Cricetulus griseus: one gene and its partners. The protein of the gene in region 1 binds, or shares a complex with, the protein of each later gene. Links are inferred from orthologs where the notes say so. Each region holds a gene or a part of one and is shown in the gene's direction. Other genes may lie near its edges.

Region 1 (3,753 bases):
CTTGTTCTGAAAAACGAAATAAAAAATAAATAAATAACCCTCCCCCTTTTTTTTTTAAAGACAAGGTCTTACTATTTAGCTTTGGATGTTCTGGAACTTGTGATAGTGAACATTATGTTTAGAGGACAAATTTACTTGTGCTAGGTTTGTGAAAACAAAATGTTTTTAACTTGTGTAATCTGTGAGGAAGTTACTACTATCTTGAATGTTCCCTGTCGGGACATGGATCACTTCCTGGTGCAGTTGGACTATTCTTAAAAAATTTCTGATTGTTACAAAATGCATCACTGCCCCAGCTATTCCTACAAGATAAATGGGTCACAAGATTAAACAGCTAACTGCTAAATTCTGCTTTTGTATGAAACACTTGCTTGGGTGCTGAGGCACCTGCTGGATGCCTGTTACAAAAATCAAGCCTTAGCCAGGCGGTGGTGGCACTCACCTTTAATCCCTGGGGAGTCTGAGACAGCAGATCTCTGAGTTGGAGGCCAGCCTGGTCTACAGAGCAAGTTCCAAGATAGCCAGGGCTACACAGAGAAACCCTGTCTTGAAAAGAAACAAAACAAAACAAAAAAAACCAAACCAAAATTAAACCTTGCCCATACCCAGACAAGATATGAGTTAATTTGACTCCCCCAAACTATAACATTGTGGGTTTTGCCTTTATAATCCTTTGACTGATAATAACCAGGACCTTACTTAGAGAACGCCCTAGTTTGTCCTGGCCAGGCTCTTTTTAATAAAAAGCCTCTAAAGTTTACTAATTTACTAAAACTAAAACTTGAGTCACACTGGTGAATGTCTGAACGACCTCTGACTCACAATGAATTCACAACGCAGATCAGGCTAGTCTTCAGCCCCCAGAGATCCAACTGCCTGTGCTGAGAGCAGGATTTAAAGGTGTTGCACCACTACACCCGGCTTTGTTCTGAAATTTTTAAATTCTCGGCAGTTGCTGTGCTAAAAAATAAACAAAAAAGTGTTCAGGGACTCCGGTTTCTGAGATGTGTGACCTTTATGGGGTCACAGAACCAGCTGTGAGCACCGCAGGGCCATTTGTTCAAGAAGGAAAGACTACAATTCCCAGAGTGCGCCTCGTGGTTGCCAGGGGCAACCATAGAACGCAGACTAACAGAGGCTGAAGTCTGAGGAAAAACTGATCTACTCCTACCAGCCATGGGGGTAGATTACTATGCTGTGCTCCAGGTCACTCGCAACTCAGAGGATGCCCAGATCAAGAAGGCGTAAGTGGGAGGGATCGGAGCCCGGTCCTGCTGAGGCAACCCTACCCTGATGCCAGCCAAACCGCTTCCCTGCGCAGTTTAGTGCAGGAAAGGGGCACCTCTGTCCTCTTGCCTACTTTTATCCTGGCTTTGGGCTGGTCAGGACACAGAATGGAAATTCAGACACACCCTTAGTGCACCAGTGGGCTCCCCGTACCCAGTCCTCATGCCTCTTAGCTCTACTTGGGTCATGTCCGAATTCCTAGCTATGAAATGAGAACAAAGGATCTTTCGGACCTTACCCTGAGTCTCAAGGAGATTACAGGACTGTGAACCAGAAATGACCTGACAAGTGGATGTTACAGTTTCCATTCTGGTGATCACACGGGTTTTTGTCCCTGACTGATACTCATCTCTGAATACCTCTCTCAAGTCTCAAGGACTTAGTGAAAGTCTAGATGCAGGTGTGATGCTAACTGCCTGTAATCCCCAAATGGTTTGTGGTCAGCCTGGCCAGCACAGGCTGAAGAGCAAGGTTCTGTTCTAAAAAGACAAGGGATAAGTGTGATGGGGGAACATCTAGGACAGAAGTCAGGCTGTATTTCTGAAAATTTTTGATCTTTAAACTTCTTTTCTTTGGAAAAAAAAAGTTTTGGGCAAGAATGCATTGAGCACTAACCTCTTGAGTTGTGCACAGAGCAGGTCTTTGTCACCGAGTATGTATCGTTATAAAGGATTACCTGGGGCTGTGTTGAGAGGCGAGCAGCTTCTTGAGAGGCTGTCCTGATAATTAAGCCAAAAGTCAAGGCCTGAAGGAGGATTAAGGCTCTGCAGTAGGCTGGAAAGGGAGAGGAGAGACTGAACTTGACAATTAATTGTATAATCAATAGTATAAAGAAAAAAGGAAGCATCTGAGGCAACTTGAGGTTTAGGGGTACACCAGATGCCTGTATTGAACATGGAGGTGCTTTTCTGAGAGTTTTTTTTTTTTTTTAATCATTGTTTTACTTAGTCCTCAAGTGACCCTGAGAGGTAAATGCCATTGTCATCCCAGGAGCTTGTATGCGACTAATGGAATCAGAGATCAGACACCATCCCTACCTCCCTGGGCCAGGTTCTTGTGTAGACTGAAGTGAAGTGTCCAGGGGAAAAAGAAGACAAACTCACTAAACAATTGAGAGCAATTCCGTACAGTGGATGAGTCACCCTCTGTTCTGGGCTTTCACTGGCCAGTGATTTATGAGTGGAAGGTTGCCATGAGAGAAATCAGGTTGCCAGTGGAACTCAGTAAGGGAAAGGTTACCATGGCAAACAGAGATAAACACAGCTTAGTTACTGGAACACCAACTGCACTGGCTAGTTTTATGTCAACTTAACACAAGCTAGAGTCATTTCAGAAGAGGGACTCTCAATTGAGAAAATGTCTCCACCGTATTGGCTGGTGGGTGAGGTGCATTTTCTTAATTGGTGATTGATATGGCCCATTATGGACTGGACCACTCCTGGGTGCTAGAAGAAAGCAGGTTGAGCAAGCTAAGAAGAGCAAGCCAGTAAGCAGCACTCCTCCAAGGGCTCTGCATCAGCTCCTGTGTCCAGGTTCCCTCCTTGAGTTTCTGTCCTGACCTCCTTTGATGATGGAAGATTTGATTTGACTGTGAAAATGTAAGATACAACAAACCCTTTCTTTCCCAAGCTGCTCTTAGTCATGGTGTTTCAGCACATCAAGAGAAACCCCGAGACACCAAGTACGACACACTCACTCAAGCTTTCCGTTCCTGATCTTCTAATCTCTTAAAAAAACAAAAGTGTGGAGGAGGAGACAGACCAAGGAGATAGGAGACGGCCCAGTTGGTAGAGTGTTTGCTGCTCATGCAGGAGGACCTGAGCAGGAAAAAAAAGCTGTGTTTCATTTGTACCCCTGGTTCTGGGGAGGCAGAGAAGGTGGTGAATTCCTGAGGCTGCCTGGACAGTCAGCCTAGCCTACTTGGAGAGTTCCAGGTCAGTGAGAGGCTGTATTAATAGCTGAGGTGGACAGAGGGACAAGAGGAGAGGTTGTCCTCTGGCCTCCACATGGGTGTGCCCACATGTGAACCTGCACAGACACACAAATAGGCAACACACACAGTTTTTAAAGGACAGGAGTTGTTTCAGGATTAAAATAGGATCAGATGCGATACTGTATATGAAAATACCCAGAAATCCCTGGCAGATGGAAGCATGAGGTAAGAGTAATGAAAAGAATTGTATGTTCCTGTTGACAGCCCATAACTCTTCCACTGTAGCAACTTTTAAGGCTTGAGCCTTGTGAATGCTACATTCTCTCATGGGGATGTCTTGAGACAGGCAGATCCCTGGTGCTTGAGGACCACCTGCTGTAGTAGAATTTGTGAGCCCCAGGACAGTGAGAGACTGTCTCAAAAAAAAAAAAAAAAAAAAAAAAAAAAGCAGAAAGCAGTTAAAGTTGACTTCTAGCCTCCATACACATGCATGCATGCACACACTCACAAAATACCGAGCCTGCATATCGAAG
Region 2 (3,653 bases), on another chromosome or scaffold:
TACATGGAGAAACCCTGTTTCAAAAAGCAAAAAAGTAAATAAAAGAACTCCCTAGATAAAAAATGAAGTCCTCTTTGCAAAACAGTACCTCATACTATGTTATATCCCTATAATTATTAGTGTGGCCATATGGACAGTCACAAGCTGAGTAATCTTCCAATTGCCAAAATGCCTCATCCCAGTATGAGTCATGTGACTTTTTTTGCACCGTCCTACTGATGAAAAAATGGAGGTCATAGTAGGTTGGCTTGGTTAGAAGAACCTTCTCATTGAAGAGTGGCTTTTCATGTCAGGCTGAACATTTCCCCTGCAGCATATGAGTGTTGCTAAGGACCTCTGGAGAACACTTGGGCATTGGACAGTAACTTGGACATGGTGAATTCATTTAGGAATGTGGACTCATTTTTTTCCTGTATATAAAGCCCAAACTCAACCTCTGTTTAAAAATCTCTTAATCTAAGACATTAATGTTGTTGCTTTACATAGTTGCTAGAACTTTTGCTTCAATTATAACATTTCATTCAGCCCATTTTTAAAATTCCTAATATTTTTATTCAGTCTTAGAAAATTGCATACAATGTATGTTTTATATATTTTCTTTTTTATTTTTGAGATCATAATGTAATTATATCATTTCTCTATTTCCTTTCCTCCCACTAAACCCTCCAATATACCTCTTCTTGCTCTCTTTCAAATTTATAGCACCCTTTTCATTAATTTTTGTTACACACACACACACACACACACACACACACACACACACACACATATATATTCCAAAACAAAACCTGCCATGTCTGTATAATGCTACTTTTGTGTACGTTTTCAGGGCTGACCATTTGGCATCAGACAACCAATTAGTGTGCTTTTCCCTGGGGGAGACAGTTTCTCCCACTCTTAGCATTCTTTGGGTGCCTGTAGTTTTCATGCAGGGTTGAAGTCTCATGGGCTTTCCCCTGGCCACTTTGACATGTCTATTATTGTCCTTGGCCAGCTCATGTGTATGCAGCCATATTGGGAGACTTTATGGATATAGCTTCTGCCGCTATAGCCCCCTACTCTCTGGTTCTTACAATCTTTCCACCCACTTCCATGTCCCCTGAGCCTTAGGTGCATGACTTGTTTTGTAGATGTATACACTGGAACTGGACCCCACAACTCTGCATTTTAATTGTATTTGAATGCAATTTGAATGCAGTTTTATTTTAATTGAATGCTATTTTAATGTGGTTTAAATTTAATTTAATGTGGTTTTCTGTAATGGTCTCTGTCTGTTATTGCAAAGAGAAGTTTCCTTAATGTGGTGTGAAGACTACATTTGTCTATGGGTTGAAGGACAAATGTTTCGAGTGTTGTTAGGGATTATGCTGGCTTAGTAAAGTGGTTCTAAGTTCTTCTTCAAGATCTGTGAACTTGCCTGACCTGAGTAGTTAGCTAGGTTTCCAGTTACCAAGCAGGATGCCACTCTTGTTAAACCAGTAAGGCATGTGTGTTACTACTGCACTCTTAAGGTTATTGTGCCATGCTGGGCTTGTGGTTCATGGACATCACAACTGGCTAGGACAGTTGGTTGCTTCTTTCCTTTTGAAGCTCTCATGGCACCTTCTGGTATCACAAAAGCTTGTCCCCAGGGAAAAAGGTACTCAGGTCAGTTTCAGCTCAGGGCTCTGTGTCTGAACTGCATCATGATGCCTTCAGCAATTGAGATTTACCCTTTGAAGGGACCAGCTTCCCTTTTGGCAGCCATAATGACCAAACATGTGCTCTATGACCTTGTCTTAGTCACTAGAAAGTAAGATGCCTGCCTTGTGACAAGGAAACAATCAGAAGTTAGTCACTAGAAAGTCAGATGCCTGCCTCGTGACAAGGAGCCAATCAGAAGTTAGCTGGTGGCACTATGCTTTACGACCCTGGGTGTGCTTTACGGACAAGCGCACAGCAATGACACACAAAGCATAGCAACCACCCTGGGAGGGCCTATGGGCCATAACAACCAGTTGACCAATCAACACAGGGCAAACCCTCCAAGCCTGGAGGCACGCCAATCCTGAGCCTGTGCATACCCCTAGACACTCCCCTTATGCTGCCCTATAAAGATCTTTGTGCAGCGGCTTCGAACTGTCTTTGCTAGCCATCCGCCATGGTAGGTGGGTCAAAGGCCCGAGCTAACATGGGGTTAGCTCATTAAACTACAATAAAGCCTCATGCAATTTGCATCAAGCTTTCGCCTCCATTCTGTGATTGGGGTGGCCGCAGTCCTGGGCTAAGATTCTGGAAGCATCAGCTTTTCGAGGGTCTTACACCTTCACCTCTGGTCAGCCTCATTTTTGAAAGAATTTTATTTAATTATGAACCATTATCTCTTATTAGTATATAGTAAATGAAACTGTGATCCTTTTGTGTGTGTGTGTGTGTGTGTGTGTGTGTGTGTGCGTGTGTGTGCCCTGTATTCTGATTACTCTGATTACTCCTTGGAAAGTGACATGGATTTTGCTGTTAAACTGATCATAGCACTTTATAAAAATAAAAATTCTTAAAATCTAAACATGAAATAGAAACAAACAATATTCAGTGTTTTCTTAATTTTTTCTTAGGAGAGAAGCACAGAAAGTGGGGCTAAGGGTGATGAGTCCCTACAGCAAGAGGTGAGAAGGAATAGCTACTGTGTGTTATGTGAAATGAGTACAGTTTAAGAGTAGAAACCTAAGTTTTAAATATCAGTGGCTAAAGTTTTAATAAGAACATTGTCAAAAGTGCTGGTCCAGGATGGATATGGTAGGGCACACACAGGATCACAGTGCCTGAGGCTTGGTTGTTGTGATTCCTGGCACACCTAAAGCTACATAGTGAGACCCTGTTTTAACAAACAAAAGCAAAGTCAAAAGCCCTATAACAGTGATAGTCCAAATTAGTATTCTAATGGTAAGTCACAGCTGTGTGGTGCTTTGAAATAAACCTCAAAGTGGATAAAATTTGAACATGAAATATGTACTTGTATATTTTGAAGATACAATGTCCTGTTATATTGCACATAGAATTACTTACAAGTGCATTTTGAAATTCCAAATGCATTTAAAGATAATTTTTAGTGCTTCTTACTAGATAGAATTCTGGTATCATTAAAAGCCATTGATGAATTCTACTACTTAACAATGTTGATTTTGTGTGCTTAATTCAGAAATTTTATATCAAATTGCCAGAAAAATAACAGGTTCATTTTGAAGACATGCAAAAGTAAAAACTGACTTTTATGACTGTAGGACTCAATGATGGACTCAGGCAAAACCCTAGCTGAAATCAGTGATCGCTACGGAGCACCTAACTTGAGCAGAGTGGAAGAGCTTGAAGAGCCATTGTTATCTGATGTGAGTATCAAAATGTGTTGTCGCAGAAGTTTTCATGTTGATAAAGTCTGGTGTATATGACTTTATCAATATATAATATTTTAAATATATTTAATGAATATTAAACTTAATATATTTATCTAAATATATTAAATATATAATATTTATAATACACGGAATACTTTTCCTTCATGCAAAGAAGACCAAATGTGTAGGTGTTAACCAATTTTTAAAAATTTTACTTTTATGTTATGTGTATGAGTATTTTGACTGCCATATATGTGTAGTATCAGTGGATGCCAAAAGAGG
Region 3 (3,274 bases), on another chromosome or scaffold:
AGAATCAGAAATGGTCCCTGTTTTTTCCTTCTTTTTCTCCCCCCCCCCTTTTTTTGGTTTGTACAGGGTTTCTCTGGCCTTGAACTCAAAGTTTCTCCTGACTCTACCTTCCTAGGAGGGCTGGGGTTAAAGGTGTGTGCCACACAGTGCTTGGCTTCTTTTTCTTTTCTTTTCTTTTTTGTTTTGTTTTGGAGGGGGTTTTAAATTTATTTTTTACTTTCCAATTCCAGTTCCCCCTCCCTACTCTCCTCCTGTTCTCCCCTCCTTCCCCCATCCCACCTCTCATTCACTCCTCAGAGTAAGGCCTCTCCTAGGATGTCAACTAAGTCTGTCCCACACCTTGCTGAGGTAGGACCAAGGCAGCCCCCCTGCCCCGTGTCTAGGCTGAGCAAGGTATCTCTCCATAGAGAATGGACTCCACAAAGTCAGTTTGTGCATTATAGTTTGATCTTGGTCCCACTTTAGCTTCTTTTTCATTTTTAAACATGGGGGTCTTGCTACGTTACCCAGGCTGGCCCCAATCTCTACCCAGTTTCCCGGGTAGCTGAGATAGGCATTCACCACTATGCTGCTAGTCCTTGTTTTTTAAGCAATTCACAGACTGACTCCAGTGCCTTTTCCTGTCTATATCTTACACAAACGCCCTTTTGTCTCCGAGGCCCCAGTCACCCTTTCCATTCTTGTCTCTTTCTTCCTGAACTGAACACTACCTGGAGATGACAGTCCTTAACTGATGGTAAACATAAGATGTAGCAGGGCGGTGGTAGCCCACGCCTTTAACCCCAGCAGTCGGGAGGCAGAGGCAGGTAAGATCTCTGAGTTCGAGGCCACCCTGGTCTACAGAGCGAGTTTCAGGACAGCTAGGGCTATACAGCAAACGCCTGTCTGTCTTGAAAAACCAAAAAAGAAGAAAGAAAAGAAAAACTCAAGGCCGGCTGTGGCAGCACACGCCCATAACCCTAACACTCAAGAGGTCAGAGGCAGGAGGGGAGGACTACTACAAGCTTCAGGTGGTAGCCAGGTCTAAATAGTATTTCTGTGCCAGCCAGGGTACATAGCAAGACAAACAAAACACCCCCCCAAAAATAAACAACAACAAAATCAAACCAAAACAATGACAGCAACAAAAACAAAGGGACATGGTGGCTCCTGTCTATAATTCCAGCACCTAGGAAGCTGAGGCAAGAGGATTTCAGAGAATTCAAGGACATCCTGGGCTGCATAGCCAGGCTCTGTTTCACGCCTCCCACATATACACAAGGAGGGGAGGAAGAGGAAGGAAAGAGATGACTGGACACACACAGGGTCAGAGGGATTTTTCTCTTAGCACCTCTTTTCTGATGGACAATTCTTTGATTTTTTTTTTTTTTGTGGTTCTATCAATCAAACCCAAGGCCTCGCACATGTGTAATATGTACAGAGCCCAATAAAATGCCAATAGAGCTCAAAGTAGGAAATGTTCCTGGAGGCCCACAATATATATTGAGCTTAGAGTGGCATACTTAAGAATGATTTCATAAATGTTTGAAAGCCAGGAATATGCCATTCCATACAGAGTCTCAGAAGTCGGCGTCAGAGGACTGGCCTTTTTATTCAGTCTGGGAGACCCAGTACATCCCTAGCTCCTTACTGAGGGAAGCATCCACACAGCACTCCAACTCCACAGCACCTCATACTTAGGCACGAGCTCCTTCCCTGCTGATCTGACCCTTCTAACCTCTGGTGTGATATGGCTGACACAGAAGATATCTGCTCCTATAAAGAACGTTTTGCCCTTCCTCTCCAAATACAAGGCAGGATGAGGCCTAAAGCTGCTACTCCAATTTTTTGTTTGTTTGTTTGTTTGCTTTTTGTTTTTCGAGACAGGGTTTCTCTGTGTAGCCTTAAAGCCTATCCTGGCACTCGCTCTGGAGACCAGGCTGGCCTCGAACTCACAGAGATCCGCCTGCCTCTGCCACCCGAGTGTTGGGATTAAAGGCGTGTGCCACCAACGCCCGGCATGCAGCTCCAAAATTTTAGGTGACAGACACATCACAGAGCAAGGAATCCCTAGTGGCAACTAGGGATTCCTTGAAGGGTAGAGGCGGGACTGGGGAATTGCATCCGGCCAAGGCTGGCCACACTTGCTTGGCAGAACAGTCCTCGACAGTCATTGCTTTTAGGGCTCAGCCTGATGTTCTTACAGAGGAAGCCCAATTCCTTGCTAGCAATCAAAGCCCATGTTCCTGACTTAAGCCCTCGTGACTTCATCCACAGGAGTAACATGATTAGTGACCTGGGGGAGCTGGCCAAACTGCGGGACCTGCCCAAGCTGCGAGCCTTGGTGTTGTTGGACAACCCGTGCGCAGATGAGACCGACTACCGCCAGGAGGCCCTGGTGCAGATGACACACCTGGAGCGTCTGGACAAAGAGTTCTTTGAGGATGAGGACCGGGCTGAGGCGGAGGAGATCCGCCAGAGGCTGAAGGAGGAACAGGAACAGGAACTGGAGGGAGAGCATGACATGGAGCCATACTCGCCTCCAAGTTAGCCGCTCCTCCAGCCTACGCGGGCGGACGGACGGACGGACGGACGGACGGACGGACCGTTAGGGAGGGGGCGGGAAGGCAGCTAGCGGAGGCCAAAGGCTGAACGCACAGAAGAGGCCAGGAGAACCCTCAGCAGAGACCAGACTTGGGAGTTGGAGGTATCTTAGGTATAAAGGAAAGATAAGAGGCCAGGAAGAGCTGATAAAAAGATAAAAGAACCCAGAAAAGTGAGAATTGGAGTGGCAGACGGAAGGGCTGGTGTGCAGCCATATGCGGCAGGGAGATAGGTCTGGGGGCATGGGGGAGCCCAGGGGGAGGGGTGGCTGGTGGTGTCTAGAGGATGCAGCTGGGCCAGGGAAAGGATCCTGCACTAAAAATCTGAACCTAAAAATAACAGGACACTGGTGGGGAGGCGAAAGGAGGGCATGGTGAAGCAGAGACCGAGAAGCCTAGGGACGTGGGCATTTCGAGTGGGGCACCAGCTTCACTTCTGTCCTCTTCTTCCAGGAGACCATTAACCAAGACCTCATTGACCATTGCCTCAAGAATTGATGAGACTCCGGCGGGGGACCACCACGTTCATAGTCCTGTGCTAGGAATCCGGGCATGCTGCGTTTTGTTCCAGAACTGGAAATCCATCATATCCCAAGGCTCAGGCTCTTTGGTGGTCATCTTTTTGTGGCTTGTTCTATGGGCCTAAACTCCTAGGTTCTGTCTGGAGACTTAGATTGAGGACAGCCCAGAAG

The links.
Region 2: Dnajb13 (region 1) and Dydc1 share a complex: the UniProt entries of both Homo sapiens proteins name them as parts of the axonemal radial spoke complex. The link is inferred for Cricetulus griseus from reciprocal best matches to the Homo sapiens genes DNAJB13 and DYDC1.
Region 3: Dnajb13 (region 1) and Lrrc23 share a complex: the UniProt entries of both Homo sapiens proteins name them as parts of the axonemal radial spoke complex. The link is inferred for Cricetulus griseus from reciprocal best matches to the Homo sapiens genes DNAJB13 and LRRC23.

What each region holds. Positions count from the first base shown.
Region 1 is NC_048596.1:99,001,445-99,005,197, forward strand, and holds the start of Dnajb13 (dnaJ homolog subfamily B member 13), read left to right. Parts: upstream 1-844; 5' UTR 845-1,176; coding exon 1,177-1,244; intron 1,245-3,753. UniProt on the Homo sapiens protein: Functions as part of axonemal radial spoke complexes that play an important part in the motility of sperm and cilia.
Region 2 is NW_023276807.1:179,038,033-179,041,685, reverse strand, and holds part of Dydc1 (DPY30 domain-containing protein 1), read left to right. Parts: intron 1-1,287; coding exon 1,288-1,305; intron 1,306-2,599; coding exon 2,600-2,645; intron 2,646-3,260; coding exon 3,261-3,365; intron 3,366-3,653. UniProt on the Homo sapiens protein: Functions as part of axonemal radial spoke complexes that play an important part in the motility of sperm and cilia. Plays a crucial role during acrosome biogenesis.
Region 3 is NC_048601.1:21,634,645-21,637,918, forward strand, and holds the end of Lrrc23 (leucine-rich repeat-containing protein 23), read left to right. Parts: intron 1-2,256; coding exon 2,257-2,530; 3' UTR 2,531-2,707; downstream 2,708-3,274. UniProt on the Homo sapiens protein: Essential for sperm motility and male fertility. Plays an important role in the proper assembly of the third radial spoke (RS3) head and the bridge structure between RS2 and RS3 in the sperm flagella.